Caenorhabditis elegans: one gene and its partners. The protein of the gene in region 4 purifies or fractionates together with the protein of the main gene of each other region. This does not show direct contact. Each region holds a gene or a part of one and is shown on either strand. Other genes may lie near its edges. The genes, in order: csn-3, rsp-3, mrps-26 and ugt-49.

The links.
Region 1: the proteins of ugt-49 (region 4) and csn-3 fractionate together in Caenorhabditis elegans (co-fractionation; one large-scale study listed by BioGRID). This does not show direct contact.
Region 2: the proteins of ugt-49 (region 4) and rsp-3 fractionate together in Caenorhabditis elegans (co-fractionation; one large-scale study listed by BioGRID). This does not show direct contact.
Region 3: the proteins of ugt-49 (region 4) and mrps-26 fractionate together in Caenorhabditis elegans (co-fractionation; one large-scale study listed by BioGRID). This does not show direct contact.

What each region holds. Positions count from the first base shown.
Region 1 is NC_003282.8:191,201-200,136, reverse strand, and holds the start of csn-3 (COP9 signalosome complex subunit 3), read right to left. Parts: upstream 5,396-8,936; 5' UTR 5,360-5,395; coding exon 5,353-5,359; intron 5,297-5,352; coding exon 5,171-5,296; intron 3,298-5,170; coding exon 3,028-3,297; intron 2,377-3,027; coding exon 2,066-2,376; intron 1,023-2,065; coding exon 826-1,022; intron 1-825. Other genes in the region: intk-1 (INTaKe), read right to left, coding at 6,073-6,243, 6,821-7,360, 7,406-7,510, 7,560-7,655; pnc-1 (nicotinamidase), read right to left, coding at 8,058-8,252, 8,887-8,936. UniProt on the Caenorhabditis elegans protein: Component of the COP9 signalosome complex (CSN), a complex involved in various cellular and developmental processes.
Region 2 is NC_003281.10:12,686,201-12,693,899, forward strand, and holds rsp-3 (putative splicing factor, arginine/serine-rich 3), read right to left. Parts: upstream 1,717-7,699; 5' UTR 1,707-1,716; coding exon 1,537-1,706; intron 1,490-1,536; coding exon 1,102-1,489; intron 1,036-1,101; coding exon 817-1,035; 3' UTR 501-816; downstream 1-500. Other genes in the region: spin-4 (Major facilitator superfamily (MFS) profile domain-containing protein), read left to right, coding at 2,127-2,166, 2,222-2,376, 2,429-2,569, 3,634-3,992, 6,198-6,341, 7,583-7,699. UniProt on the Caenorhabditis elegans protein: Plays an essential role in embryogenesis.
Region 3 is NC_003281.10:5,230,601-5,238,755, forward strand, and holds mrps-26 (Small ribosomal subunit protein mS26), read left to right. Parts: upstream 1-4,016; 5' UTR 4,017-4,017; coding exon 4,018-4,179; intron 4,180-4,471; coding exon 4,472-5,077; 3' UTR 5,078-5,087; intron 5,088-5,459; 3' UTR 5,460-5,764; downstream 5,765-8,155. Other genes in the region: prmt-5 (Protein arginine N-methyltransferase 5), read left to right, coding at 1-274, 324-405, 499-692, 774-1,055, 1,100-1,505, 1,783-2,264, 2,884-3,055, 3,280-3,498 and 1 more; prx-10 (Tryptophan--tRNA ligase, mitochondrial), read left to right, coding at 7,539-7,589, 7,636-7,845.
Region 4 is NC_003283.11:10,369,243-10,377,464, reverse strand, and holds ugt-49 (UDP-glucuronosyltransferase), read right to left. Parts: upstream 5,145-8,222; 5' UTR 5,126-5,144; coding exon 4,900-5,125; intron 4,855-4,899; coding exon 4,741-4,854; intron 4,696-4,740; coding exon 4,379-4,695; intron 4,330-4,378; coding exon 4,159-4,329; intron 4,113-4,158; coding exon 3,953-4,112; intron 3,848-3,952; coding exon 3,258-3,847; 3' UTR 3,204-3,257; downstream 1-3,203. Other genes in the region: sri-20 (Serpentine Receptor, class I), read right to left, coding at 7,597-7,696, 7,745-7,859, 7,905-8,217.

The DNA of each region.
Region 1 (8,936 bases), on a different chromosome or scaffold from region 4:
CAATTGGCGGAAATTCAAATTGGAATTAGGGGAAAACTGTGATTTTTCCAATTTTCAAAAAATCATATAAAATCTAGAAAATTTTTTTGAATTTTTTACAATCATATTCGGTCATTATGACATCATAGGCACGTTTTAAAGCAATTTCCCCATTGAGCGTAGTCCACCTTTAAAAACTAGTTTTTTCAACAAATCTTTAATTTTTAAAAATTTTGGGATGAAAAATTGTTCACTTTTTCTGAAAATTGATCGAAAATCCATAGTTTTTCGAGATTTTTCCGCACAAAACCAAATATTTTCATGATTTCTTCAGTTTTAAACGAAAAAAAAAACGCTCCGAAAACGATTTTCACGGAAAAAAACTTGAAATTTGAAAAAAAAAAAACGAGTTTTAGACCAAAAATCACATTTTCTGAGCATTTTTCCTCTGAAAATTGCCGTTTTTCAGCCAATTTTCACTCAAAATTCTGGATTTTTAGCCAAAAATTCAGTTTTTCGTGTTTTTTTTTCAATAGAAAAAAAAAATAAATTTGAAAAAAAAACGAGTTTTAGATTAAAAATGCTATTTTCTGAGCATTTTTTCCTCTGAAAATGACCGTTTTTCAGCCAATTTTCACTCAAAATCCCGGATTTTTAGCCAAAAATTCAGTTTTGTCGTGAAATTTCATGGTTAAGAGTTTTCAAAATTCACTACAAACTTGCATGAAAATTTTGGTTTTAGAAACTGGGAATTTTTGAAGTTTTTCTTAGTTTTTCTGGCTTGTAAAAAGAAAAATCCTGAGATATTTCCTCTTTTTCTCGCAAAAATTCTTGCATAAAAAGTACTTTTTGAACGAATCCAAATGTTGATCCTGAACCGAGAACGCTGGCATTCCGACACAAATTTCGAGCAGGAAAAGAGCATCTTCGAAACGTTTAAGCTCAATGAGAATACATGCTCCATTGTAGAGATAATCAAGTACATATTTTGGATGAAGATGAGGATTATGTGCCACTGGCTGTGAACCGAATGCGGCGCCTTTCTGAAATAATTTTAAAAGATCCAGAAAAACAATTTGAACTGAAAAACCCAAAAAATTCCATATAAAATTTGTTCTTTAAACGAATTTAGTTTTTTGATGTTCATTTTTTATTCATATTTTTCGGTTTTTTTTATTTATAAACTTCAGAAAACTTTTAGTAATTTCAAATTTTATTTTTAAAAATTCAAGAAAACATTTTGATGTGGATTTACAAACCAGACTAAAATTTAATATAAATTTTTTTTTAAACAAATTTTTATATATTTTTTAAATTTTCATTTCATATTTTTCAGGTTTTTTTTGCAATATTTCAAAACTCAAAGAGCTCGAAAATTTAGTAATTTCAGATTTTATTTTAAAAAAAAGTTTTTTGCAACAGAAAACATTGAAAATGTCCCATTTTTGCGTTTTTTTGTCACTTATTTCCGAATTTTTCGGAAAAAAATATTCAAAATATAGTTTTCTTCAGATTTTACTGAAAACCCAATGCAAATGTTCAGAAAATCGCGTTTTTTTAACTTATAAAAATATTTTTGTAATTTTCGTTAACTTTTCAGCTTTTTAAATGTTTTTAAAACCAAGCAATTTTAAAAAAATTTAGTGTTTTGGAAGCTTTTTTGAAAAAAGTTTTTTGGAACAGAAAAAAATTGAAAATATCCTATTTTTGCGTTTTTTCGCACTTTTTTTCCGAATTTTTCGGAAAAAATTGGTTTTCGTAAGCTTTCACTGAGAATCCAGTGTAAATATTCAAAACAATCGTTTAAATATAATTATACATGTATAATTTTCGTTAACTTTTCAGTTTTTAAAAAAATGTTTTTAATCCAAAAAGAATTGAAAAATATTGTTTTTGGGGGCAATTATCAGTTTCTAGACATTTTTTTTCCAAATTTGCGTGTAAAAAACCTCAAAAAATGATGTATTTTCATATAACGTTTCTAACTTTTTTTCCTACAAAAAATACCCATTTTTAAAGGTTTTTTCACACGAAAATTTGAAAATATCCAAATTTCCAGATATTTCTTTTTTCTTCCATAATGCACCTTCATTCTTCCAAGAAAAACATCTCCAAAATCTCGTTCTCTATTATCACTCTTTTCCTGATCTTGAATACAATTCTCATTTGCAATCTCATCAACATGTAGATCAATAAATGGTTCAACAGATGCATAATCCTTTGTTTCAAGAGCACACGCAAAGAGCACACCGTGTGCAGAAGTGAGCACATTTGGAGCATTTGAGCCATTTCTTGGGAACATTGATCCGAGTGCTTTCATGATAATTCTTTGTCCTATTTCTGGTTTATTCTTCTTTTCCAAACAATATAAGCCGACGTCGCGGAGCAGTGGGAAAACTGAAAAAAAAATTTTTTTTAGAGGGAAATTGGAAAAAATTACATTTTAAAAGTTAAAAAAAAATCAAATTTTCAGTTAAATTTTCAATTTTTGCCTAGTTTTTCTTTAAATTCGAGCTTATTTGCCAATATTTTTCAATTTTTCTTGAAAGATTTTTCAATTGCTCCATTCAAAAAGTGAAAAAAAAATCTATGGAAAAGTGACTTTTTACAAGAAAATCGTTAAAATTTGTCATTTTTTCACTAAAGAATGCATTTTCAGACAACTTTTTTCTGTGGAAAAATTCGGATTTTCGAATTTTTTTGAGGACGAAAAATTAGGAAGTTCTTAGTTTTTTAATTTTCAGTCTGAAATTTATAGATTTTTGAGGGAAATTGAGAAAAAAAAAATAAAATTTAGGAAGAATTATAGGAAGAAGGAGAAATTTTCAGTTAAGTTTTCTATTTTTGCCTAGCTTTTCTCTAAATTCAAGTTTTTATTTTTATTTTCCTTTGAAATCCGACGTCTTTGACTTTCTGCTTTAAAAAAAAACGGAAAATTCGGCGAAGTGAAGCTGCATTTTTCTCTTTAAATCTAGATTTTTCGCATAAATTCCATGTAAATCATCCATATTTTCCAGTTTTTCTTCTCAATTTTATCTAGAAACTCACTAATTTCAGGTACAAGCTTCAAATGTCCTCCAACAAAATTATTCTCATCAACATAATGATTGAGAAGCTCAACAGCTCGATCTGTTCCAGTTTCATTATTTTTTGCAGCCGACGTATCAAACATTCCTTTAATTGCAGCAACCATTGCAGCTGAACCAACATTTGGACTACAATGAAGCAAAAATGCTTCAACATCGTTCGATTTCTTTTCGAAAAGCTCTTTATTCTTACGAACAATTCCAGCGGCCAGTTCACCAACATTCTCTGAAACTAAATACGGGAAATTAATGCGGAATTCTGGAAAAAATAGGCTTGACGGTATCCTTAAATTGAATTTTTTTTTAAATAAAACAAATTTTTTAATAAATTTATTTTAAAGCGGGATTACAGTTTGTGGGTATTCTGCTTAAATAGACTACAACTGGTCCAAAACCACCGAATTTAATAATGAAACAAAAAATTTTCAACAATTTTGTATGGATTTTTGGTTGAGGCTTAGGATTTTTGGGTGAGGATCAGGATATTTCGTTGAGGCTACCATGATTTTTGGTTGAGGCTAAGGATTTTTGATTGAGGCTCAGGATTTTTGGTTGAGGCTACCAGGATTTTTGGTTGAGGCTAAGGATTTTTGATTGAGGCTCAGGATTTTTGGTTGAGGCTACCATGATTTTTGATTGAGGCTCAGGATTTTTGATTGAGGCTCAGGATTTTTGGTTGAGGCTACCAGGATTTTTGGTTGAGGCTAAGGATTTTTGATTGAGGCTCAGGATTTTTGGTTGAGGCTACCATGATTTTTGGTTGAGGCTCAGGATTTTTGATTGAGGCTCAGGATTTTTGGTTGAGGCTCTCAGGATTTTTGGTTGAGGCTCAGGATATTTCGTTGAGGCTACCATGATTTTTGGTTGAGACTCTCAGGATTTTTGGTTGAGACTCAGGATTTTTGGTTGAGGCTACCATGATTTTTGGTTGAGGCTAAGAATTTTTGGTTGAGGCTCAGGATTTTTGGTTGAGGCTACCAGGATTTTTGGTTGAGGCTCTCAGGATTTTTGGTTGAGGCTCAGGATATTTCGTTGAGGCTACCATGATTTTTGGTTGAGGCTAAGGATTTTTGATTGAGGCTCAGGATTTTTGGTTGAGGCTACCATGATTTTTGATTGAGGCTCAGGATTTTTGATTGAGGCTCAGGATTTTTGGTTGAGGCTACCATGATTTTTGGTTGAGGCTAAGAATTTTTGGTTGAGGCTCAGGATTTTTGGTTGAGGCTCAGGATATTTCGTTGAGGCTACCATGATTTTTGGTTGAGGCTAAGGATTTTTGGTTGAGGCTAAGGATTTTTGATTGAGGCTCAGGATTTTTGGTTGAGGCTACCATGATTTTTGGTTGAGGCTCAGGATTTTTGATTGAGGTTCAGGATTTTTGGTTGAGGTTCAGGATTTTTGGTTGAGGCTACCATGATTTTTTGGTTGAGGCTCAGGATTTTTGGTTGAGGCTAAGGATTTTTGGTTGAGGCTTTCTGGATTTTTGGGTGAGGCTCTCCGGAATTTTGGTTGAGGCTACCATGATTTTTGGTTGAGGCTACCATGATTTTTTGGTTGAGGTCAAAATTAAAAAAGGCATATTAGTGCAAAAATCAGAAATTTTGCCCAGTTTTCTTTGTCGCAGAGACTGTAATTCAACTTTTCTGAAATTATCACTTTTAATTCACATTTTGGTAATTTATCTTGTGTAAATTCATTGATTGAGACAATTTTTAAGCGAAGAGACATCCAAAAATGATAAAAATTGGATGCCTCACGGTTTAAAATTGTCTCAATCAATGAATTTACACAAGATAAACTAATAAAACTTAGATTAAAGAGTGATAATTTCAGAAAAGTAAAATTCCAGTGGCTGCGACAAAGAAAACTGGGGACAAAGAAAAAATTTCAGATGTCAGCAAAATTTGGCTCTTTTTTTTCGGAATTCGATCCCTTTTCAGATGATATTCATCAATTTTTCACGAACTTCTACGAGAATTTCGATGGGTTTTTGAATGAAATCATTCAAATTTCCCGAAAATTTCAGCGAATAAATACATTTTCAAGTTGAAAAATTGAGAAAATCACTAATTTTCTTCTTTTTCCAACAAAACCCTCCAAATTACCATGTTTTTCACTGCAAAGCTCATTGATCGCAGCACACAATGACTCCATACTACCAAGATCCATTCCAGAAGAAGCTGCTGCAGACGATGATGATGAGGCTCCCGTGAAGAGCTTATTGAAAAAAGCTGAAAAAGCTTTTCCGATTTTTTTAGAAAATTTACAGGTTAAATAATAAACTTACTTGTCATGATCCTTTTGTGAATGGGATTTTCCTGTGATATCTGAAAATATTTACATTTTATCGTGAAAATGTGTGACAAGAAACGAGTAAGAGAAGATATACGAAAAAATAAGAGAAAATTGCACAGGGAATGGCGATTGGTGAGAAAATTTAGAGAAGAAACCGAGAAAAATATAGAAATTGAGTAAAAATCGAGCTTGTACAGGAAAATACCGAGAAATTAGTGAAAAATGGGTAAAATTTGGGGAAAAGAGAAAACTTTGCTAGAAAATAGAGGGAATCACGAAAATTTTAGGGTATTTCAGTTCAAATATCACCGAAAAAGCACCGTGTCAGGCATAAAACGCTGTTTTTTTGAAAATTACTTATAGAAAATACGCTAAACAACACGCGACGCGTAACATCGGAGCATCGTTGTCACGCTTTTCTTCGAGAAAAATAGCGTTTTATTCGTTGGCACGGTGCCAATTTCGGAAATTTTAGATCCAAAATCCCAGCTGATCTTGAATCCGTGGTGCCTCAAAACAGGTGAAATTCACAATATTTTCCTGCTCGGAAAAATTTCGAAAAAAAAATCGACAATACGGGGATTTTTCGAGAAAAACTGTGAGAAATGCCCTAAAAAAATGCAAATATTAGCTGGAAACGAAGAAATTTGGGTCAAAATTATAGAATTTTCAAATTAGAAAATGCGTGAAAAATTCAGGAAACATGATCGATTCAAGACGAAAAATACTCCTCGTCGTTATCGATTTTTTCAGTGCGTTGATTTTGAGAAGCGTCGTAAAATGGTACGGTATCGAGTGCAGAATGCATGTCAATCATATGAGTATTCATCGATTCGAATAATCGTTCGATTTCTCGTTCTTCTTCTGAATCATCCGAATCCGACTGAAAATATGGGGAATTTTAGTATATTCTAGTATTTTTGGATTTTTAGTTGAGGCTCTCTGGATTTTTGGTTGAGGCTTTCTGGATTTTTGGGTGAGGCTCTCCGGAATTTTGATTGAGGCCCAGGATTTTTGGTTGAGGCTCTCATGATTTTTGGGTGAGGCTAAGGATTTATGGGTGAGGCTCTCAGAATTTTGATGATTTTAATGAAAATTTGAGTTTTTTAAAGGTAAAAAGCTATTGGAATATTGCATTCAGCGAGTTTTTTTTATTTTTTGCAGCGCTAAATATCACAAAACAGATATTTTGTGATTCCTGGGACCGTTTTTTGGGACTTTCTGCTTTTTTTCAGATTAAAAAACTGGCGTCTGTCGCATTTTTTGTTAGTTTTTTGAGAGATCTTCGGAGTCGTTTAGCTAGAAAATAGACTGAAAATCGGATTTAAAAAAAAAGGAAAATCCTGCCAAAAACACATTTTCTAGATCACATTGAGCTTTTTACATTCCAAAAATCCCGATTTCTTCGTAAAATTGCACAAATTAATCCCTTTTTTATGGAAATCCGAATTTTTCCTTACAAATTCAAAATTCTCCTTGACACTCCTCGCTTGTTTTCTCTTTTTCCTCCTAGCCGACTCAATTTCATAAACTTGTAAATGAATATTCGACACATCTTCATGCGCTTCTTTCACTTTTCCCAACGCAGAAATCTGTGGAGCATCTAGCCATCGGAGCTCACCATTTCGAAAATCTTCCAGTAGTTTCAGCATTCCTTTCTCCTCGAATATCATACTACTGGGCTCCAGAGGCGATGGAGGCTCCCGAACAAGAGTCTCTGTCATTGTATTTGGATCCCATTCGTACATATCTGCGTCTCCTTCGTGTCCGAGCACTTTCTCGTCCAGAGTTCTCGATTCAAACCATTTTTCCTCGGATTCCGGGCTTATAAGCTTCTCGGGACGCTCCACGTGCTCTTCTTCCTCCTCTTCAACTATTTTCTTCTCCTCACGGTCTCCGCGCGTGAATCGATGGAAGAAATTAGTTATGGAGTTTGTAGTATCCTTTCGTTTGCGACCAATGTCCTCTGCCACTTTACTAGGCCGCAATTTCTTTTTGTCCTGAAATTTATTTATTGAAAATTAATTTTATAAAAACGTTTTTGCCTTGCTAGTAACTGTCAGATCATCGATGGACTCCGAGAGATCTTCGGAAAGCACAAAAGACGTCGATAGTGTCGTCGAAAATCCCAATTGATTGTTGAGAGAACTCTGAAAACAATTCAAAATTTTTTTTTAATTAATCGATTTTTCTGCCCACCTGCTCTTCATCCACAACTTCCACTTTGACGGGCGGCTCCGTGCCGTTAAACCGAATATCACCAGATTTCGGTGATAAACTCACGTCTCTAGACATGTTTTCGGGGGAAAACTAATTTTTTTACGAAATAGATTAAAAATTAGCAATTTCGAGTTTTATACTGGTTTTCAGTGGTAAATATTAGGAAATATGAGTAAAATGTGATTTCTAACAAGTATTAAATGGAAAAATCGTTAAATTATCGGGGAAAAAACAGGAAATTTCAGGAATAAGAAATGCGCTGAAATTTTGTTTACAAAATTGGTTCCTTCGAGAGGAGTACACGGCGCGTGGCCGAGAAATCGTGCTGGCGGCCGCGTTATTTCGGAGCGTCGTTTGATGCGAAATTACTTTTTTCTGAACTTTTCAACGAAAATTTCGACAATTAAGAAAAAAAAACGTTTATTTAAATATTTTTAAAAGAATTACAAAATTATGCACAATATTTTATTATTACTTCTACTTCTTCACGATCCTTTGAACCCATTCTCTCGGCAGAAAACCGCCTTCCGTGATTCCACGTGCCTCGTCTTTTGAGATCATCGCAACGCCTTGCTTTTTGAAAGCCATCTCAGACTCCTCGATTCCCTTCTTCGTTAGTCCAGCGCTGCATTCCGGGATCACGGCGGCAAGGAAGTTCTGCTTCACAGCGTCCTGAAAATTTAAAGTTTTGAGGTGTTTTTAAAGGTGGTGTAGTCGAATTTTTTTATTACCTTATTAGACTCAAAATTGTCTGAAAACACCGAATTTCATAATGAAACTTTTTAGAAAAAAGTTATGACGGCTCAAAAAATGGCTTAAAATTAGTTAAAATCGGAAATTTGACCAACTTATCAATGTCGCAGCGGCTGGACACAATTTTTTTTTGAAATCACCGTCAAATTTTGAGTATACAAGTTGATTTCCTGCGTTTTAAACTTGATTAAGGTATTTAAAAATCGATGGACGGCGAGATTTTTAATTTTTTTGAGCCAAAACTCGCCGTCCATCGACTTTTAAATACCTAAATGAAGTTTAAAACGCAAGATGATCAACTTGTACACTCAAAATTTGACGGTGATTTCAAAAAAAAATAGTTTCCAGTCGCTGCGACATTGATAAGTTGGTCTAATTTCCGATTTTAACTAATTTTAGGCCATTTTTTGAGCCGTCATAACTTTTTTCTGAAAAGTTTCATTATGAAATTCGTTGTTTTCAGACAATTTTGAGTCTAATAAGGTAATAAAAAAAATTCGAATACACCACCTTTAAACGGTTTTCAGTTAGAAAAGCTTTAAAAAACCCTTACCAGGCAAGTAAACCGAACGCAAATATCGTAGGCGAGTCCGGCGATCACAA
Region 2 (7,699 bases), on a different chromosome or scaffold from region 4:
TTTCTGTTTTCAATAATAATTTAAAAAAGTAAAAACACAAGTCAAAAATTCAAAATTTTTATTCGAAATTCCAAGTCGAAACTCACCTGGCTGATTCATTTTTGTGAGCCGGGAAGCGGGTCACCGGCTCACCTGAACATGGCGGATTAGTTTTTTCTCATATTCGAGGGGATTTTCCTAATAGATTTCGGGGTTTTCGAACCCAAAACTGTAAAATTTTTCCTTCTTTTTACTCTCGTCAGGTCAAAATTTAACTAAATTATGTTCCTAACAATACCCAGGGGGCAAATCCAAAACTTTTCCCATAAAATCCTTTTTCCGGGGGTCCTAGTGTGTGTGTGTGTGTGTGTGTGTCGATTCGAAAATCGTGTAAAAACCGATTCGATCCTCGATCGATATGGTGTGTCCCCGCTTTTGATCGTCCAGCGATCCTTTAGTTTCCCTCCTTATAGAGTCCTCCTCCTTTCCTCCAATAGTTTGAATGAAGCGGAGTGGAGGCTGAAACAAAACATTTTATTCGTGGTTCCTCCAACAAAAGAAATTATTGAATAATAATAGGTGGGGCTGATGAATACTTGGATGTGGTTGTTTGAATTAAGGATAGGTGATAAAAAATAGAAGAAATTGTGGATATATATATCCAAAAAGATCGATAAAAAGAAAAAGGTGTGTGTAAACAGGAGAACATGAGGCATGGAATTGTATTAGAAACAGCACAAAAAAAAAGAAATTAGCAAGATATAGTTGTATCAGAACTCTCTGTCAGACGACTCAAATTGCAAAACGATACCGTTTCAAGAATCAGACGCTGTCTCTTTATTGTGGAGATGGTGAGCGAGATGGACTGCGACTGGCCGAGCGAGAACGAGAGCGGGAACGGCTGCGAGAGCGGGAACGAGAACGACGAGGTGAGTACTTTGGCGAAGCACGACGTTCGGCTCTTGGAGAGCGCGAACGGCTACGATCACGGCCACCACCACCGCTTCCGCCTCCAGAAGAGTTGTCCTCACGAACGCGAATGTAGGCAGTTTCACCCTGAAAAAGAAAAATTTAATTCAATTTTTGATTTATTTTATAGTTTCAAAAATAGTAAAAACTCACCTCATGTGATCTGAACTTGGTGTCATCAAGCTTGCGAACAGCGTACTTGACATCCTCGTAACGAGTAAACTCGACGACTCCAGTTCCATCTCGAGCCACATCCGCATAGCAGACGTCTCCAGCATCACGCATATGATCCTTAAGATCCTGCCACGACCCGGTTGGTGGAAGACCTTCAACGATCACTCGGTATCCGGTTCTTCTCTGAGGTCCACCTCCACGACCACCACCACGTCCTCCTCGGAAGTCTCCACCGCGGTGATCACCTCCGTCTTGGAGTGGGCGACCGCCTGGGCCACGTGGTCCGACTCCACGAGTGAACTCGACGCGAATGCGACGGCCATCGAATTCGTAGCCATCGCGAGCACGAACCGCATCCTCGGCATCTCTGGAATAAAATTGATTAATTAAAGTATTTGAAATCAATAAACGAACCTGTGATCTTCGAACTCGACGAAAGCGAACGCCGGTCCACGTCCTGACTTGATATCGACGTACTTGATGCGGCCATACTTGTGGAAAATGTCCTCGACTTCCTTCTCTCGGACGTCTCCTGGCAGGTTGCCAACGTAGACTTTTTGGTCCTCTGAGCCGCCGCGTGGCATGTTTAGTACACTGAAAATGAAGAAATAATTATGATTATTTGCAAAAAATCGGCGACTGAAGATTATTGATAATAAAAAAAATACTGGGCCTAAAATCCTTCAAATTACTGCATTTACTTGACTGAAAAGAAACCCAGAATCGAGTAAAATTTAGAAAAATGAATATTCTCAAGCATTTCTTCGAAAAAATAATAAAAATTGTCTGAAAAAACAAGAAATGAGTGTGCCACGGCCTTCGTTTTCGAAAAAATAACGACCGCGACGCGACCGCAACGCGTCATATGAGCATTCTCCCGCCAAGTTTGAACGAGTTCGGTGGAGCGCGCCTGCGTTATTTTTAGTCACGTATTTTTTTATTTTTTGTGGTTTTCGGTTTTTTATTAGAAAATAAGAAAAAATAATAAATTTCAGAAATTCTAAATGCCAAATGAAATTGAGGAAGGCAGTGGTTTGGACGTTGGTGAGTTTTTAATCGAAAATTTAATTATTTAAATCGAAAAACTTGATTTTTTCAGCCTCCCGACTTGCTGGAAAGAAGAAATGGGTTACTTGTTCCATTCTGCTTCTCGTAAACCTGCTAAACTACATGGATCGATACACAATCGTGGGAGTTATGTCGCGGCTTGCAACATTTTTCGATATCGACGATAAGGGGCAAGGCCTTTTGCAAGTAAAAATTGAATAAAATTGTGGAATATTAATTAAAAACCGAATAATTTCAGACAGTTTTCATTGTGTTCTACATGTTTTTCGCGCCATTATTCGGATATTTGGGTGATCGATACAATCGAAAAATGCTAATGATCACTGGAATTTGCATATGGATTTTAGCAGTCTTTGCATCGTCTTTTTGTGGGGAAGGGGTAAGGGAAAAGGGAAAAAAACGATAATAGAAAGGAAATAATGTTGGAATAAATTACTAAGACAGTCTGAGCCCACTTCCAGTGGTAGATCAAAAGGCGGAGCCAAAAACGCGGGAAAATCGCGGTCTGGAGGTCAATGAGCCCGATGGGAAGGCTCTAGAGGTCAATCCAATAATGGAATAATGACACCGAGAAGAGAGAAGATAAAAAATGACGTTTATAACGCTTTTTTTGGCAATTTTTGCAAAAATCATGCGAAAAATGCTATTTTGTGGCAAATTTTCACTGGAAATACACAAATTCTGAATATTTTGCCGCGAAAATCGAATAAAAAGAGAAAAAAAAGAATATTTTTGTAAAAAAATTCCTATAAAAAGCGGAAAAATTACCAAAATTCTAAGATATTTTTTGGAATATCAAAAAAAAAAGTGCTTCAAAATTTTGAAGAAAAAAAATTTAAATCTGAGTTTTTTGGGGCAATTAATGCATTTTTCACCAAAAAAAGAACACAAATTTGGATTTTTGTGAAAAATATTCTTTAAAAAAGCGGAAAATGTCCAAAATTCTGAGAAAAAACTAAAAAAAAAAAAAAAAATTTTTTTGCAATTTTTTTGAAAAATCCCTCAAGTGAATAATGCGTTTTTTCTCCAAAAAATTGATTTTTGTGAAAAATATTCTTAAAAAAGCGGAAAATGTCCAAAAATCAGAAAAAATGGAGTTTTTTTTTCAATTTTTTTGAAAAATCCAAAAAATACTGATTTCCGGCCATTTAAGATAGGGCTTCCAGGTAGGCGTTGAAACGCCTGCCTGCCTGACCTCAAGGTGACCTTCGCCTGCCTCAATCTGCGCCTTATGCTCTTTGATTTCACGCAGGCCCTGAGCCATAATTTTAGCTTTAAAAAACCTGAAAAAAATGGAAAAAAAAACATGCAAAAGGCGATAATTGAGAAACTTTTTCAATGAAAAATGGGCAAAAAATGGTGATTTTTGGGACAATTTTTCGTGAATAATGCGTTTTTTTACCCTAAAAAATTGATTTTTTTTTAATTTTTAAATAATTTTAGCACTACTACCTGTTTCTCCTGTGCCGCGGAATTGTTGGAATCGGAGAAGCCTCGTACTCCACAATCGCTCCAACCGTCCTATCAGACCTATTCAGTGGTGGCCTCAGAAGTCGAGTACTGATGATGTTCTATTTTGCAATTCCAGTTGGAAGTGGTCTCGGATTCATTTCTGGGTCAAGTATTTCACAGGCAACAGATTCATGGCAATGGGGTGTTCGATTTTCTCCGATTATTGGAATAGCTTGTCTTGGATTGATGTTATGGTTGTTGGATGAACCAGTGAGGGGAGCTTGTGATGGAGCACGGCAGAATGGAGATGAAGCTGATTTGATTGGCGATATTAAGTACTTGATGTCCATGTTAGTGTGCTTATTATCAGAATTTTTTTTGATTAAAAAAATCGGAAAAATTGAAGAAAAAAAATGCGTTGCTGCGGAATTTTTTAAAGTGTAAATTTATTTAAAAGTTCAAAAATAGTGTGATTTTTAAGTTTTTGGGACTATTTTTTCGACATTTTCGAGCAACAAAAATTCATTTTTAATTTAAAAAAATGCGTCTCTATATTTTTATTTTTTTTAATTCGAAAATTTGAGATTAAAAAATTTATATTTAAATGATCTAATAGTTTTTTTTACTAACAATTTAAAAGTGGTGTAGTTGGATATTTTTAAAAAATTACTTTATTAGACTTAAAATTGTCTGAAAACACCGAATTTTATATTGAAACTTCTTGAAAACTTCTCAAAAAACAAGTTATGACGGCTCAAAAAATGGCCTAAAATTAGTTTAAATTTGAAATTTGACTTGTCGCAACGGCTGGAAACAATTTTTTTTTTTGAAATCACCGTCAAATTTTGAGTATACAATGTAATTATCCTGCGTTTTCAACTTCATTTATGTATTTTAAAGTCGATGGACAGCGAGATTTTTTAATTTTTGAAACCAAATTTCGCCGTCCATCGGCTTTGAAATACCTATAAATGAAGTTGAAAACGCGAGATAATTAAATTTTATACTTAAAATTTGACGGTGATTTCAAAAAAGTTAGTTTCCAGCCGCTGCAACAAGTCAAATTTCAAATTTTAACTAATTTTAGGCCATTTTTTGAGCCATCATAACTTTTTTTTGAGAAGTTTTCAAGTAGTTTCATTATTAAATTCGGCATTTTCAGACAATTTTGAGTCTATTAAAGCAATAAAACTATGTTACGTCTATGTTAGTTTTTATTAGGAAAAAAATTCAAAAAAATTGTTTAAAAAAAAAAAATTTACTCGGACAAAATTTGAAAAAAAAATTAAATTCAATAAAAATGCCCTGATTTTATATTAATTTTTTAAAATCCCAAAATCCATTGGTATCCGTTTTCATATCAATTTCAAAATCGATTTCAATCTTTTCCCATTGTTTTGCGTTGAAATTCATGACTTCCATTAATTTCTGACTTTTTATCAATTAAAACAGCCAAAATTGCATGAAATATTAATAAAGTTACAAATTAATGGAAAATCACTAGGATTTCAAAGTAAAACAACGAGAAAATCGCTGTGAAAATTTAAAAAATTAAAAAAATGAATGAAAAATATTTGAAATTCGAATATTTTAATTTAACAATAGGTAGCCAATGGATTTTCGGATTAAAAAAAATTAATATAAAATCAGGGATTTTTTTCTATTTAATTTTTTCACATTGATATTCGGTATCAGGAGAATAAATAGGGTGTATAGAAAAATTTTAATTTTTTGCTTCAAAACATGTCTATGGTACCACAATATCATAGTAAAAAAATTTTTTAAAATTTTCTAAATTTTATATGATTTTTTGAAAATTGAAAAAAATCTCAGTTTTTGCCTAATTCCCATTTGAATTACCGCCAATCGTTCGATGTTCGATGGAGCGCGCTTGCATGATTTTAATTTTAATTTAACAATTTCTCTCATTTTTGACTGATTTTTCATGTTTTTTTTCGAGTAATTCTATTGGAAATTTAATGAAAAATTCAAGATAAATGTAAATTTTTCACTAAAAATAATTGAAAACAGAGAAAGAACATTTTCCAACGACGTTGAGCCTGAAATAATCTATTTCAAAGATTTAGGCTTGAAAAATTTACATTTATCTTGAATTTTTCATTAAATTTCCAGTAAAATTACTCGAAAAAACATGAAAAATCAATCAAAAATAAGAAAAATTGATAAATAAAAATTAAAACAGAGGCAACCGCGCTCCATCGAACATCGAACGATTGGCGGTAATTCAAATGGGAATTAGGCAAAAACTGAGATTTTTTCAATTTTCAAAAAATCATATAGTTTAGAAAATTTAAAAAAATTTTTTTACTATGATATTTGGTCATTGTGGTACCATAGACATGTTTTGAAGCAAAAAATTAAAAATGTTCTATTTTTTTGGCTCGATTTTGTCGAAACAAATTGAAAAAAAAATTTCAAACTTTTTTAAAAAGAAAATTACAAAATTCAATTTCTTAAATCGAAATTTTTTCGAAGTAAATGAATAAAATCGCTAGAAAAAGTTATTTAACAAAAAAAATATTAATAATTTGTAGTAAAACATTCTACCTCGCCTCGGCCGCCTCAATTGCCTCATTCTTCTCAATTGGAACAATGAGCTGGTGGACTCCACAATACGTTGGATTCTCGTATGCAGTTATTCATAATGTGCCAAAAGTACCGGAGACGGAGCTTACACAGTAGGGTTTTTTGAATTCAAACAAATATTTTTTTTTAGATGACAACACAATTTTTGCACGTGATTTCGTCGAAAATTTGTGTGAAAATTTTGAGAAAAAAATCTAATTGAAGACTATTTTTTGCGCTTGTTAAGTATATTTTCAATCGAAAATTTGCATTAAATTTATTTATTTTTTTCAAATTTAAAGTGAAATTGCACCTGAAAACATGGAAAATTGGTTTAAAAAAATAAGAAAAAATAACAATTAATTTATAAAAAAAATTTCCGGCAAATTCCGGCAACGTGCCGGTTTTCCAGAATTTCTAAATTCCGATAAATTGCCGATTCGCTGGAAATGTTGAATTCCGGCAATTTGCCGATTTGCTTGAAATCTTAAATTCCGGCGATTTGCCAGTTTGCCGGAAATTTTAAATTTCGGCAATTTGCCGGTTTGCCGGAAACTTTCAATTCCGGCAACTTGCCGATTTGCTGGAAGTCTTAAATTCTGGCATTTTGCCAGTTTGCCGGAAATTTTAAAATTCCGGAAGTTTGCCGTTTTGCCGGAAATTTTAAATTCCGGCAATTTGCCGGTTAGCCGGAAATTTTAAATTCCTGCAATCTTCCGCTTTGCTGGAAATTTTAAATTCCGGCAACTTGCCGGTTTGACGGAAATTTTCATTTTCGGTAATTTGCCGGTTTGCTGAAAGTTTTAAATTCCGGCAATTTGCTGATTTGTCGAAAATTTTCATTTTCGGCAATCTGCCAGTTTGCTGGAAATTTTAAATTCCGGTAATTTGCCGGTTTGCCGGAAATTTTAAATTCCGGTAATTCGCCGATTTGCTGGAAATTTTAAATTCTGGCAATTTGCCAGTTTGCCGGAAATCTTAATTTTCAGCAATTTGCCGGTTTGCTGGAAATGCTTATAGGGTTTTTATATGACCGAAACACGTAGAACGGTGCTTTTTTGAAATTTTTGCCTGTTTTCTTTAGATATTTTCATAGAATTCGCTAAGTTTTCAAAATAGATGTAGGAACATTCATACAATTTTGCCGATTAAAATTGAAATTCTGAAATTCCCAAAAAAATGTACAAAACCACAATTTGCCAATTTGCTGGAAATTTTGAATTCCGGCAATTTGCTGATTTGCTGAAAAAAATTATTTTTTACAGTTATTTTGGCCCATTACGGTCTATTTTCTGCCATTTAAAGCAAAAAAAAATTCTGACACCACTCCACCTCCAAATTATTTAATTTTCAGAATCAATCTAATCTTCGGAATCATAACATGCATGGCTGGCCTATTGGGTGTCGCTACAGGCTCAATTTTATCACGAGCATGGAGAGATGGTAGCTCAATCTTCCGTAATCATGCCAC
Region 3 (8,155 bases), on a different chromosome or scaffold from region 4:
ATAATCTGTTTCCACAACAGGTCGCGGAGCAGCATGAGGAACAGATGTCTTCTGGTTCTTCGCCCAAAAGTAATTCTCCCAGCAGAAGTATAAGCTCTGTTGAGGCAGCGAACTCTAGAATACACATCGGATGGATGGCCACAACCTTGGACGTTGCCGAGAATCTAGACCGTCATGTTGCTACTTTCTGTACACGACTGGGAGAGTTCAAGTATAACTTTGTCGTCTACCCGATTGGAGGGGTCGTTCGCGCATTCTGGACGCCTAATGGAAGGTTCACATCGACTATCTTACCCAACTTCAACTAGACTACTAATTTTCAGCGCGGAGAATCATCCACCTGTTATTGATTTGCCCGATGTTCAGCTGAGAAATGATCTCTGGGAAAGCTATGTTGTAGGAAAAGTATGGGGGGTTTTTTTTTTAATTTTAATTACTTTTTCGAAGAACAAGCCCTTTATTCTTAAATTAAAACCTGAAATTGTCATTTTTTTCAAGATTTCTCCATGGATCGACTGTGACTCTTCTGATCCAGCCTTTGCCTCGCTTTCCGAGGAACATCTTCTGAAAGAGCTCAGCTACATTTGTTATTTGGGTCTTCAAACGATGGCAATCGAGCTCACACGCATCTCGTCGCCTCGTACTGCTGCCATTTTGAAAAAATGGATTTGGACTAGAAATTCGCGTTTTACGTAAGTAAAATGCAATATGAAATAGCTCCTTTTTTTCAGTAAAATATTTTTTAAAAAAGCAAAGTTTATATTTATTTTCAGTGTTTGGGTTCAACTTCCGTCTGCAATTGAAAAGTGCAAAGATTATGACGCTTTCACAATAGAACATGTTGATTTATGGACAATTTGGGCCGATTTCCGGAAGAATTGTGGTAATTTCAGTGGTGTTTATTTCCAAGTGGCTTTGACGATCTCTTCGGAACTTCCCGATGAGCTTACTGAGCTTAAACTTGTGGACCGTTGGAAGGCCGAGCCCCTAGCAGCTTTTGTTATCGAATCGGGTCTTTTTATTTCTGGAAGAAATGGAGAAGCATCAATTCCAAGGTAAATTTCAAGATTACATTTTCAAATAAATACTAATTTTTCAGTGCCCACATAAATTTATTAAAACATCTATGGACAACTGATGCACTTCGGATCGTTCTTCGTGCCACAACGGATACATTCAAGTACAATACTTCTATCAAATCCGAGTATTCTCAAGCTCTTCGTCATGCAGTTCGAAATGTTAATTACCGAAGTCGTCCTGATGTTGGAGAAGGATCGAATGACTCCACTCATTATCTTAATGTTATCGAATACAAAGATGTTTTGCAAGCACCTCTTCAACCATTGTCTGAAAATTTGGATTCAGGAGTTTATAATACATTCGAGCAGGATCAAATTAAATACGACGTGTATGGAGAAGCTGTAGTTGGAGCATTAAAAGATCTTGGAGCTGACGGAAGAAAAACTGTTGTCATTTACTTGTTGGGAGGAGGACGTGGTCCTATTGTGAGTTTTTGGCTATTAAGTAGAAAAAGTCCCTTTTAATTCGACATGAAAACATATTTTGTGGCCAATTGAAAACACTCCACCCCCTGACCATGGGTCTCGTTTGGAAGTTGGCGACAAGCCGGAAATTCAAACATTTTGCAGTTAATTTTGCCAATTGTCTGAAGCGAACTGCAACATTTTTCAATTTACAGTTTTTCGGTCTAAATGAATATCAAAACGGGCATTTTTATGCGTCTCCATAGTTTTAAATATTATAAATTTCAATTTTTTTCAGGGAACGAAAATTCTGAAATCTGAAAGAGAATACAACAACACATTCCGACAAGGCCAAGAAAGTCTCAAAGTGAAGCTTTATATTGTTGAAAAGAATCCAAATGCAATCGTCACTCTGAAATATATGAATGTGAGAACATGGAAACGACGAGTAACGATTATTGAAAGTGATATGCGAAGTCTGCCGGGAATTGCGAAAGATCGTGGATTCGAACAACCTGACATAATTGTTTCGGAACTTCTTGGAAGTTTTGGAGATAACGAGTTGAGTCCTGAATGTCTAGATGGTGTCACTGGATTTTTGAAGCCAACAACAATTTCAATTCCACAGAAGTACACTAGCTATGTGAAGCCAATAATGAGTACTCATATTCATCAAACAATTAAAGCTCAAAGTATTCCTTATTTGAGTCGTGCAATTCCATCGCATGGTAGAGGTGAACCGGAATTGGATGAAGACGAAATGTGGATTCAAAAATACCCGTTTGTTTTTCAATTTTTTTATAAAAATATAAACATTCTGCCTTATTACCCCGATGCCAAATTTTGCTAGTCCCGGTCTCGATTAGACAAAATTTTTAAAATTAAAAAAAAAATTCAAACAAAAATCTTTGTTATATGCGAAAACGTGTGCACCTTTAAACTATACTGTAATCTAAGACTTGTTGCTGCAGAGTTTTTATTAATTTTTTATAGTTTTTTTTGGTTGGCATTTTATTATTTTAGTTTAGTTTTGATAAATTGATATTGATTTTTATTTAAAAAACTATGAAAAATCATGGGATATTGAAATTACAGTACTCTTCAAAGGTACAAAAAGTTTCGTATTAACGAATATTTATCGTGTAGATACCGGGTACCGTAATATTAGAAAAAGTATCGCTAAAATTCATGTTGTGGTAATAAATATTTCTGAAGTTTTCTACTCTTGTGTACATAAAGGCCCTGGCCGAGTACACGGAGGTTTCTAGGCCATCTTTTCTTGACGGGAGTATCCGCTCCACAAGTTATGCTTCAATTTACTCTTATTTTAGAATAATTTTTAATTAAAAAAAAAGCATAAAAACTTTTTTTTTAAATTTTAATAAACATTTTCTTTCAGACAAGGACATGTTCGTAACAATATGGATCAAATCTACGTTGTATATCTTTCAAAATACATTCCACTTGCCGAAACCACCAAACCAGTATTCACATTTGAACATCCAAATTTCATGAATTCAAGCAATGAGAGAAGCGATTCTATTGAATTTGTTATGGATAGAAATGCAGATGTAAGTTTTTCAGCAAAAAAAAAAAAAAAAACTTAGAAATTCTTAAGAAAATTTAAAAATATTTTTTCGTTGATTATTTGAGGTAATTTGCTTATATTAAATGCAAAATTCGCACAAATGACAGTCCACCTTTGAAAATAAAACAATGAATTGAAAAATTTTATTGATAAAATATGTGTTTATTAAATTAAAAATCAAATAAGTTAGAACCTAATTTATTTCAGCTGATGGGATTCGCCGGCTACTTTGATCTTCAACTCTACAAAACCGTGATGCTTTCAATTGAACCATCAACTCATACACCTGGAATGGTCAGTTGGTTCCCAGCTGTTATTCCACTTAGAGATCAATTGAGAGTTGGAGAAGGTGACAGAATTTCTCTGAAAATCGATCGAAAAGTTGACAATACTGGTGTGTGGTACGAATGGCATGTTGAAAAAAAGGTAACAGTTTTTGATAACTTATTAAGATTATAGTTGAGTTTTTTCCAGAAAACCAATGGCGAATCTGTGAGCACCCCGATCCAGAATCCAAATGGAGAGAGCTATTACATGAGAATGTAGTGCCTAGTTTTTCGCTTTTATAATTATTATTTTCCTGTTTTAATCCTAATTGTTGATGTGTTATTCACTTTTGCGCCCCTATTGAATTTCCCAATCATTCCTAGAATTTTTTCCGTTGGTTTTCCCATTTCCTGTTGCCCATTTTCCGGTTCATTAATTTGAAGATTCTTTTTTGCTCCGGTATCTATCGCGATTCGATTGTTGCTCCTTTTAATTCGATATTAATTGTTTAAAAATTCAGTTTTTAAGTTTCCGTTAATTTTCCGAATTAAAGAGCTTGTTTTATTCTGTTGTTTTTTTGTAATTTTGAATTATAGTTATTAGTTTTCATACTAAAACATATTTTTATAGAGATTTTAAAGTTTTCCCAATTATTTTTCATTTAAAAATATTTTCAGAATGTTGATAAACAGTTCTCGTTTATCAATTTCTTCAACGGGACGATGTCTTTTGGCATCTGCCATGTCACAAATGGACGAAGTATTCGGAGTACAGAAGAGACAAATGGGACGACGGCAACCAAAGCAGGGAAAACCACCAATTTTGCCTCCATCGAAGAAAGTGAGTTCTATTGATTTTTTCACTAGAACAAAAATTGGAACATAAAAAAATCCAATTTTTGCCGAAAAAAATGCGCCAGCGGGGCTTTTTCCCAAAATGACAGAAAATGTCTCAATATACCGAATATAACTGTTAGAAAATTTACAGTATTTTTCTAACTCCTTAAAAATGGGTTTTTTCAGTCTTGCAACAAAAAAACGTGCAACTTTTTATTGAAAAATTTAGAAGAATTCTATAAATTTTTAACAGTTTTAAATTTTGTTACTCTTATCTATAAATTCACAAAATTCAGGTTCTCTACCACGTTGTGCATGCTCCATGGCAGAAACCAGAAGATGTCGAGGAGCTCCTCTGGCGTCGTCATGCATACAACAATGCAGTTATTTCACTTCGAGAAGTATTCCGTGCAGAACTTGCTCAAAATGCATCTCATGGTCAGGGTATCGAAGCAATGAAAGAAGCAGAAGCACTTGAATTAGACGAATTAATTGCTCAAAATGAGAAGCGGAATGAAGAAAAACGGGCGGCACGTAAAGAACGAGAAGCCGAAGATGCGAAGGAAACAAAATCTGTAATTTTGGAAGAAATTCGAGTTGAATTGGAGAAAAGAAATGCAGGCAAAAAGCAGGCAGAAGATGAAGTTAAAAATGCAATTTCTCGTTCAAGTGAATTCATTACTCGTTCAAATCTTGAAACTAAAATTCTCGAAGCACTCGAAAAGCCAACAATTTACGATTTTGCAATTGATCGGGCTGGGAACAAGTATTTCGTACCTGAACCAGTTAAATATCAAGAAGGAACACCAACTCGACAAAAAGGACGATTGTATGATCAGACATTGGGTACACAACATGGAACTATCGAAGAAGCTAATAAGATACAACAGAAAAGTGTTTAGAGGACATGATGTGAGTTATTTTTGAACATCGAAAAATAAAAATAATAAAAAAATCTTCTAATGTAGTAATATTTTTGTTTTCAAATTTTTGAATTTTTTGAAGAAATGAAATTTTCATCTCTGGTAATTTCTCTACATAAAAATCAACTTTTTTTGATAAGTCTATAGACTAGACTACTATATTTCCTTACAATTTTTTCCAGTTTTACGAATTTCAATTTTTCAGTTCGAAAATCGAAAATTTTTCGACGACATCCATGTTCAATATAAACTTGTAGTTTGTGAGAAAAAAATATGAAATAATTGGAAAAGTGTTACACTTTTAAATATTTTCTGTAATCAATATTTTCGTTTACCTAATAATTTACTTTTTTTATTTCAGATTTGCCATTTCCCCAACTGGTCATCATCATTCTTCCCAAAAGGGACAACATTGTAGTCTACACACATTTCTTCCTAATTCGGATGATAACACTATAAGATAACTGTTCTCTGTCTCCGTCTCTTGTTCTCTCTTTCTCATTATTTTTTTTTGTATTCTATTTCCCTTTTTGAGTTTATACAAATTATATCAATTTTTGTTTTCTTTTTCTCTGTTTCAAATTCCAGTTTTCTAGACATTTTCCCTTTAGATAGACTTTTGCTGTTATAAGTTTTTGATTTTTTTCATAAATCTACAATCGTTTCATTTTACTTTCTTTAATTTGACTGTCTAAAATATTCGGATTTCAGCCGGTTGAAAATATCAGAAGAATGAACACATATGTGGCTGAAATTGGGGAAATTGTGAGATCTCAGCGAAGAGATGAAGAGTATATTGAAGATATTACAGAAAGATTGAGCAGGGTAATTAAAAAATTAGATTAGATTTTTTTTTTGAAAATTACGGTGCCTGGTCTCGACACGACAAAATTTTGTTAAATGTAAAAGGGCGTGCGCCTTTAAATTCAAAGATTACAGTAATTCACAATCTCTTTTTGCGGAATTTTCACAGATTTTTCCACAAACACATGACATTTAGAAAATAACTTTAAGTAACAACAATCGGTTGAAAATTTAAGAAACTACAGTACTATTTAAAAGCGCACACATTTTAGAATTTAACAGAAAATTTGTCGCGACGAGAATAATCCAATTACACAACAGGAATAAGTCAAATTGCCAAACTGTTTTTGTGATAAAAAATTAGTTATTTGAATTTCTTAAATTTCTAGGTCAGCAAAGAGCTTCTGGGCCAACGTACGTGGATTCGGTGGTTTCCGTATTTAAAATCCATCGCATCGACTCTTTATTATACGAGCACAGTTGTATTAGGTCAGAATATTAATATTTCAATCATAAATCAAGAAATCCCATTTTCGTTCAGGAAATCAAACTCTTGGCGAGGAATACGTTCATTTATTTGAATCAAACGGTCTTGAACGAACAGTTCCATCGATTCCATCACGGATTTCTTTTGTTCTTCTTCATTCAGCATTTCCATTAATTTCAAATTATTTGATTCAGGTGATTTTCATAGTTTCTTTTTGAAAATATTTGTGAAAATAAGTTTACAGAAAGCAGAATCAACACTTACACATCCATCAACTGAATCATTTCTTGGAATTCCGATTCGAAAAAATCAAAAAGCTCGTCAATCATTTCTTGACGTGTTTTTCTGGTTGAGAACTAAACTTTTTCCACAACTTCAACGTGCTCATATTGCTCTTTTCTATATAACTGGAGCATATTATAGCATCGCCAGAAGATTCACTGGAATTCGATTTTTATCAGCCAGTGCTCATTCGGATATTCCTGTACGTTAAGTGGATAGTCTCATTTTGGGTCCCGGCACGAGTGAGACTTTCCAGCTACCGTACTCCCAATCTAGATAGATTTTCAAAATTTTATTGGGTTTCATTACCCAGACGCGAATTATTACAGTAGTCTTTAAAGGCGCACACATTTTTAAATTTAACAAAAAATTTGTCGTGTCGAGACCGGGTACCGTATTTTTGCCACAAAAACATTAAGCTTTTCAATATTTAAAGTTTTCAGGCGCTGAAAGTTTATCGATTCCTTGGTTATATAACATTAATTCAATTGGCAGTTAGTATTGGAATATCATTATATTCATTTCTAGAACAGGAGAAATTCAATAATAAATTGAAAAAGGAGAAAAAAGAAAACAACGGAGGATCGGATAGGAATCTAGACGAGAATTCGGTGAGTTTTTCACGAGCATATAATAATTTTGAAATAACAATTTCTTTCAGCTATTTCATCCAACATTCCAGTGTTCAATTTGTCTTGAAAACAAGAATCCATCTGCTCTTTTCTGTGGACATTTATTCTGTTGGACGTGTATTCAGGAGCACGCAGTAGCTGCCACGTCATCCGCTTCAACTTCATCTGCTCGTTGCCCACAGTGTCGATTGGAATTTCAACCTCGTGACGTCACGCCTTTACTTAATTTGTAATAATGATATTTTCTGGAAAATTCACTTCGCATCTCTTGAATTACGGGTTTAAGGTATTTTGTAACAAATTTGAAGAAAATGAGAAATTATGATTTTCAGCCAAATAATCTCCGTTTACTTTCCACTTCAACTCATCCAACAATATATTTCACTGGAATACAACCAACTGGAATTCCACATCTCGGCAATTTCTTTGGATCTATTGAGCCATGGACTGAACTTCAGAATTCTGTAGATAAGAATATTCTTATGATGTTATCTGTAGTTGATCAACACGCTATTTCACTTGGACCACTTCCAGCAAATGAGGTTGGGGAGAAATTTATCAATTTTTTCGTTTTTTTTTCGGAACAAAAATGTTTGATTTTCCGGGAAATCGAAGAAAAATATGTATAGAATCATTGGAAAACGGAAATTTTAGATTTTTAGATTATTTAAATAGAAAAAGTAACAATTTAGTATCGAAAAAAATAATGTTTTTTTTCTATTGAAAAATTATTTTTCAAAACTATAAATAAAATATTTTTATTTATTTTTTAAAAATCGAAATTTTTGATTTTTCAATTTTACGGAAAATCGAAAAAATTGAACAAAAAACAATATATTTAAACTTTTTTTT
Region 4 (8,222 bases):
CAATTTCAGGATTTAATATAGGAAGAGGCAGAATTTTTCGGCAAAAGTGATGCCACAAAAAAATATTCGTTTCTTGATTGTTTGCTTGGTACTTTTCTGTTGTCCATTGCTCTCTTTTGGATTACAGTGTTGGATGGGTAATATAACTATTTGAGTGACTTGTTAGTTTTTAATATTTTAGGCAGTCGTGGGAGAATAAAGGGTAGACCAGTGGAAAATTTTTGGCCTGAAACCTGCAAAGAGGGAATTAAATATTGTTATGAGTCGTACTCTAAACAATTTGAGGATTATGATACGGTCACTGTGAACTGCCAGTTACTGTACAATTATCATAGCCTTATGTGTGATGTAAGCAATTTTGTTTTTCAACCACATACTATAAATTTTATAGAAAAATATTTGGAATTTTACAACGGCAGCAGGAGTCACGTTTAGATGTTGTAAAGAAGACTTTTGCAATAATTTCGGGAAGAATAAGGGAAAGAACAACATCTGGAGGATGGAAGTTACAAACTAAAGTTGATATTTATTCAAATAAACAATGGTCAAATACACTTCTTGGAAAATATGAACAAAGTTTTATTACAAAATATATAAGTTGTAGTGTGCAAACTGTTGAGGAGATAGAATATAAAACAAAATATCAATTTGTTTTCTTTGAGTTTTTAATATTCGATTGAGATCTCTTCTTACAGCACAGAAACTTGAAAGCATACATGAAAACGTGAAGAACAGCAACGAACACGAATAGGACAAAAGCAATAACATCAAGATTATAATAAACCAGCCGTGGACCGCACCTCCGGCGCGGCCCTCGACTTCTGGAGCTGAAAACCAATTTTTCTGAAACTACCGTAATCATACAGTACTCCTACGTACCACCATTGTACCACTACAGTACCCCGACTATATCCCTACACTAATCCCAACTCACTATCCCTCCAGAAGCTAAAACTTCGCAGACTACAAAGACTACATAGACTACAAACTATGGACAAACGGAATAAGCGCTTTATATATAGTAAATGATAATTGTATTTAATCTTGATCCTTCCACGTGTAACTCTTCCAAAACGCCATGATCAATTGCAAATTGTGTCCATTTTGTAAGGCGTTCTTCTGGACTGAATGGCTTGTCCCTCATCATTTTTCCAATTCTTATCGCATTTTTCTTGTAACTTGGAGTTTTTAAAACTGCCCAAACTGTGTCTTTAAACGATCGCTAGCCAACATCCCATTTCAAAAGAACTTTTCAACTAATCCATTAATTCCTCCATGCATTATAAAAAGTTTCAATCTTGGATTGGAGAGAAGATCAACTTGTGGAAACCAATGAACAAGATCAACATTGGATATTTCTTTGGTCAACGTTTTAGTGTTCGTGTCATCTTGAATGAATTATCTTGCATTGTTGTAATAAATTCAAAATCTACCTTTGGAAATTTTAATTAGGAAATGATATTCTGACAATTCACTAATTGCACGGAACACTTCTTTTTTAATATTAACTGGAAAATCTCCGAATTGCACAAATGATCCTAGCGATATTATTATAACACCTCGTTTTCCTTTGGACATTATTTTGGCAAATACCTGGATAATTTTGGTTTCGGGATGTAGCTCAATCTAAATTTAAAAAATTACATTGTCCAAATGTTGGCTTATGTTCGGAGTCCCTAGACCACCAACATAAATAGTTTTAGTAATAGTAAGCCTTGGTAAGTCAAGTACTTCATCGGAATTTACAAAGCAAAGTGAAGAGTTTGCAGCGATTTCTCTGACATTTGGGAAGTCTGGGATGTACTTACGAAAAACCTGTAACCAAAAACATATTTTCCGCTGCTAGATATACCAAATTACCTCTGTTGTGCTATCAGTTGCATATCTATGAATAAGGATAGCTCCAATTTTCATATACAAGCTGAAAGTTCTCTGCCAAAAATCCATCTTATCACCATTGTCATTTTCTTCGATTGTTGGAACATACGAACTTGGTGCTGGAATTCCCAAATTATAACTGACTGCATCCATAATTGGTGTAGTTGAAATCCATAAATGATTTTTAATTCCAAGATATCTGACAATTCTAACTCCACACAAATCAATTTGTTCACTGAATGCCACGTCGAAGTTGTAAGCTCTCAGTTGTTCTAATTCCTCGCGTCTCGCCATTAAATCTAGATTTAAAATATTCGATTTGGTGTTCAAAATTTTGAAACAAATTACCATCACAAATATCAGAGAACCATTTTTCGTACATAATCCTTTCCAAAAAATTTGCTCTTGGATTAGTAATAAGGTACTCCCCAATATCGTCCATTGAATTATCATTGTGCTTCTCACCTGAATTTCAAATCAAATTTTAACAATCCACGTACCACCATACTAAATCCTTTCATAGTGATAACTTTAGCCTTCTTAGTTCCAGTGAATTCAGTTAATGGTTCATATTCAGTAATGAACATAACAACATCGTGACCTGCGTCAACGAGTGCATCAGCAATTCTTCCATTTGAAATTAAATGACTTCGACTAATGGATGGACTGTACACAAGAATAGAAGAAAAAGAACAAGAAGAAGGAGAAGAATAACTAATAAGGTCATAACAGTCACCTGCAACTTTTTCTAAATCAATAATTTTTTAGAATAAAAATTTAAAATGGGTTCCAAAATACTTTAAAACTGATTAGAACTGAACCGCAATATAATAAGACAGAACATTTGAAAAGTATACAACCTGAAGTTTATCAATTTATATAACTTTTTCATTCTGGCGGTGTGCTACTCGTTGTCAACTACGGTTTTTGGCAGAAAAATGTCGTGCTTTGTAAACGCAGAATGTTTTATTTTCAACAGGAAAAAAGATGATAATAATTGGAACACTAATTGATGGTAGAAAGTGGTTTCTTCAATTTTAAGGCATTGGTTGAAAAATCTAGCAGTGGAAGATGTTTTTAAGCTGTCTGGAATTTCCGTTTCTTGCACGATTCGTTTAACCCGTTGTTTTGGGCCACAAACAGTTTGAAACAAATAGAAATTCAAAAGCCAGACTTCAGATTGTCTGGAATCCGAAAAAATACCGGCCGGTACCACATTGACGCTTTTAAAATTTTTAGAATGAGGCCATAACATTGTAGAAAAGATTAAAGTCTACTTTCTATTTTCGTTAAGTCTTGTATGCTTAATTCACCTGAACACCTACTGGAAAATAACATTTATTTTTAATATTTTTATTAAAAGAGACTATAAATATCAGCTAATTATTTTTCTTAGATTTTTTAATATTCGACTGAGATCTCTTCTTACAGCACAGAAACTTGAAAGCATAAATGAAAACGTGAAGAACAGCAACGAACACGAATAGGACAAAAGCAATAACATCAAGATTATAATAAATAATTGTATTTAATCTTGATCCTTCCACGTGTAACTCTTCCAAAACGCCATGATCAATTGCAAATTGTGTCCATTTTGTAAGGCGTTCTTCTGGACTGAATGGCTTGTCTCTCATCATTTTCCCAATTCTTATCGCATTTTTTTTGTAACTTGGAGTGTTTAAAACTGTTAGAACTGTGTTTTTGAAGCTTTCATATCCAATATCCAATTTCAGAAGAACTTTGCCAATTCCTCTCTTTTCAACCATTCGTCCATTTCTAAATTGATCAGCAAAAACAGGAACAATTACAGTTGGAACTGCCTGGATAGCTGTTTCAACTAATCCATTAATTCCTCCATGCATTACAAAAAGCTTCAATCTTGGATGAGAAAGAATATCTACTTGTGGTAACCATTCAGCTACATCCACGTTTTTAATTCCTTCGACCAATTTCTTGGTATTATTGTCGCCTGCAAAAAATTAGTATCTTGACAAATTACTATGGGGGATTTATTTTTAAATTCTTCTGAAGCTTCTGCACTATTCGATGTACTCTGGAACCGTCAATTATTTACCTTTGGCAATTTTAATAAGGAAATGATAATCTGATATTTCCTGGATTGCACGCAATACCCCTTCCTTTGCCGCTGCTGGTAGATCTCCAAATGGTATGATTGAACCAAGTGAAATGATTACGACACCTTCTTTTCCTTTTGACATTATGTTTGTGAACTTCTAAAAAACTATATTCAGATAATTTTAAAATCAAATATTGTGTAACCTTATCAAGTGGTTTGCTAACTTTTGGAATTCCCAATCCACCGACATAAATTGCTTTTGTGATAGTTGGTCTTGGTAAATCAAGTACTTCATCGGAATTTACAAAGCAAAGTGAAGAGTTTGCAGCGATTTCTCTGACATTTGGGAAGTCTGGGATGTACTTACGGAAGACCTGTGATTAGTGAAAAAGATTAGTTTTAGGTTAAATTAAAATAAACTACCTCTGTAGTTCCATCAGTTCCGTATCTATGAATAAGGATTGAACCAATTTTCATATACAAGTTGAAAGTTCTCTGCCAAAAATCCATCTTATCACCATTGTCATTTTCTTCGATTGTTGGAACATACGAACTTGGTGCTGGAATTCCCAAATTATAACTAACTGCATCCATAATTGGTGTAGTTGAAATCCATAAATGATTTTTAATTCCAAGATATCTGACAATTCCAACTCCACACAAATCAATTTGTTCACTGAATGCCACGTCGAAGTTGTAAGCTCTCAGTTGTTCTAATTCCTCGCGTCTTGTCATTAAATCTAAATTTTAAAAAATGTTTCGAAAATAATATTGGGTCTTGTCACCATCACACGCGCCTGTGCACGTTTTCTCAAACATTAATCTTTCCAAAAAGCTTAATCTGGAGCTCGATAATAGGTATTCTCCGATTCCATCCATGTCTTCAGCAAACTTTGTACCTGAAACAGTGTTTTTAGTGTTGTTAGAGTCAAATCATAACTCACTAAATCCTTTCATAGTGATAACTTTAGCCTTCTTAGTTCCAGTGAATTCAGTTAATGGTTCATATTCAGTAATGAACATAACAACATCGTGACCTGCGTCAACGAGTGCATCAGCAATTCTTCCATTTGAAATTAAATGACTCCGACTTATGGATGGACTGTACACAAGAATTTTTCCTGCATCAACTGCTAGAAGAGATAGGAGAAGAAATAAAAAGGTATACATGCCCAAGATGGATCTGAAATTCAAAACGTTCAAATTCACGTATTATCAACTCCTGAAACTACTGAAAATAAAAAAAAGATTCAATAGAATGCACATTCGAAAAATCGAATACGAACGTGAAATATAACAATTATCTTACTGTTAAAAACACTTTGTGTGTCTTATCTATAAATTCTTCTATACCCATTTTCATCGAACCTTTATCAATTTAGTGAAAGGTCGATAAAATTCAAGAAGCTACAAAGAACCACGTTTTCACATGAATAGTACTAGAAATTCAACAAAATAAAAATTAAAAAAAACAAGAGAAACACACAGTGAAAAATGAAAAAAATAATCGAATCATGGAACGATTGGCAGCGGAAACAGAAATGAAATATGAAGGGAGAGAAATGGCAGACAGTAGCACCCTAACAATTTTCATTTCAATGAATCAGAATTCATTGGAGAATGAAGAACAAAAAATATATGAAAATTATTTTTTCACCTACGAAATCACAAAATGAGAAATCTGAAATTACATTTGATGGTTCACTTTTACAAACTCGAATAACCCATATTTTATAGAAAAATTTAAAATGCAGGTCTTTAATTTTTTAAGTTTTGATATTTTTAAAAAATTGGTTTCTTCACTTCTTAATACTGAAAGGAAATGAAGCATTATGGGAGAACTTTGTTCGTAACTTGTTCTTTAGGAAAAAAATAGTGCAGATGTCGTCTGGCACAAATTGATTCAACAATGATCTCGACAGTATTTTGACTTATTGGTCGAAACATCTACTCTAAAAAATACCGTGTTTTGTAGACTATTTCTAGTGAGTGCTTGTAGTGGTTAGACATAAGAATTAGATGGTGATACAGAGAAAACACAACCATTCACTGATACATTGACAGTTTTTGGACAAATAGTGACTGATGACAAGAATAGAAAATGACACGGGAACAAGATTGTTTGATAGGTAGAACCCGAGAATAGATTACTGATACGAGAGAGACGCAGATGGTTGTTGTGAATTGTAATAATTGAACTACATGTGACACGGCGAGAATGGTTATGGGAATTTTTGAGCGATTTTAAGATCCTGAGAAAAATGTTTGGGCGTACTTTGTTGGCAAACATGAAACAAGTTTACCAAACGAGGGAATTTTGTGGGGTAAGGTATGATTCCTGAATGCCAGAACGAAAATTCAGGTTTTTAATTCTTAAGTTTTGATATCATGAAAAAATGAGTTAGAAAGTTGAAGAGTATGGAAGAAACATACGCGTCTAAATAAGATGGAAAAACTCTATAATCTTCTGCAAGTATAGATAAGATATCAAATTCCTATTATGGACTGTCACTTATTTATTAGATATACCATTTACCTACACTTGTAAATCATATCTTATCTGCCAAGTTGGTACATCCTTACTATTAGTCTCAGGTCCTGACAATAATGATTTCAGAAAATCCCAAATGTAGTAAACCTTCGAAAAATAACTTATTCGATTTTTGAACTTTGAAAAGGGTTTCGGGTTATTCTCTGCAAACAAATACAAACAGCTTTCCTATCTGAAATATATATTTCAGATGTATACAGAACATGTAACGCATACACTCTAGCTACCTTATTACTGAATTTCATTGAAATCCCTATTAGTACTGCACTCTAATAGCTACTTTTGCAACACCAAACCGCAAAAATCCAAAGATTTCCAATACATATGTTTTATCAGTTTATAGTCTCATTTTTCGCCCCTATTTTTGGTGCCTTCCTACTTAAAATTCCGATTGGTGTACCAAAAATGAGTAGTCTCAAAATCGTAATATATCCTTTGTTAGTCTTAACAGTCTTCTTAACAGAACAGGCACTCAATAAGACCAAATGAAAAATAAATATGTACTAATTGGAGAAATACAGTTTGCTGCCTTTATGGAAGTTTCAAAATGTAAAAAATCCAAATATCCATATGATATCGAAGTCTCAATAATTTGATTTTGTTGAATTCATTGAACTTTTACAAATGTAATCCATTCGTCTGAAATATTCTTTGTCTGAAATATTTTTGAATGTCCTATTGATTTGAGAACATCATATGTGCTAGATACTAGAAGAATTGGCTGGCTGCAAAAATTCTCATTTTGAAGTATTGCCATATCTCAAGTTCATAACTTCGAATTGTGCTAATAAAATACGAAATCTAATACAAAACACAGAAATCTATTGACGTCTGTCAAAATTCTAATTGTATTTGTTATTTCAAATGCCCTGTAAATATCTGAAAAAAACGGAAGTGGATTAAAAAATTAATGAACAATTTAATCGGATTTTTGCAATATGAATTTTGTAAAATTTCGATTCCGGGTTATCGAAATGAGTGAAATCACAGAAGCTCAAGAGATCTGGAACTTTCAATTTGAAATAATAAAACAGTATCATCAAAAGACGAAAAAGTTTATTTACAAGTTTGAAACTCGGGAAATTAGAAGTTAATGGGTTGTTATTGTTACTGCAATACTTCGCTCCGTTTGAATTCTTGTATTCGGGAGAGTAGACCGTTGATATTGAGATGATGCGAAGTGGAATGATCTGAAAATATATTTGGTTATTGAATTGTTAGAACCTGTACACTCGAACCTGTTCGTTTTCCATAGCATTACAAAATGTCTGTATGGAGGATATGTGATAACCATTACAATTGCATTTGCACTGGAATGGAGAGTTAGAGCAACAATGGTCCAATGTGTTGCTACTGAAATAGTATGTGTTATATTGAATGCCGTGTTATAATATATACCTTGACTATGTTCATATCTTATAACTACCAGTAAAGAGAACAAAGACGCTGGACCAACAATCAAGAAACACGTTGTAAACTGAGCTAAAAGACTTCTCAAAGTGGCTCGATGCTTTGCATAGTTTGAAGCACTGATATGTTTTCGATTATCGTCTAATATTTTGAACATTTGATAAGTAGTTGTGACAATCAAAACAAGTGTATATGTACAACCAAAAAATATGAATGCAAAGAATACAATTGCCCATATATTGGAATCAAATACCACGTAGTTTGGTAGACTTGCAAATTTATCAACGAGATTTGGGTAAACCTGCA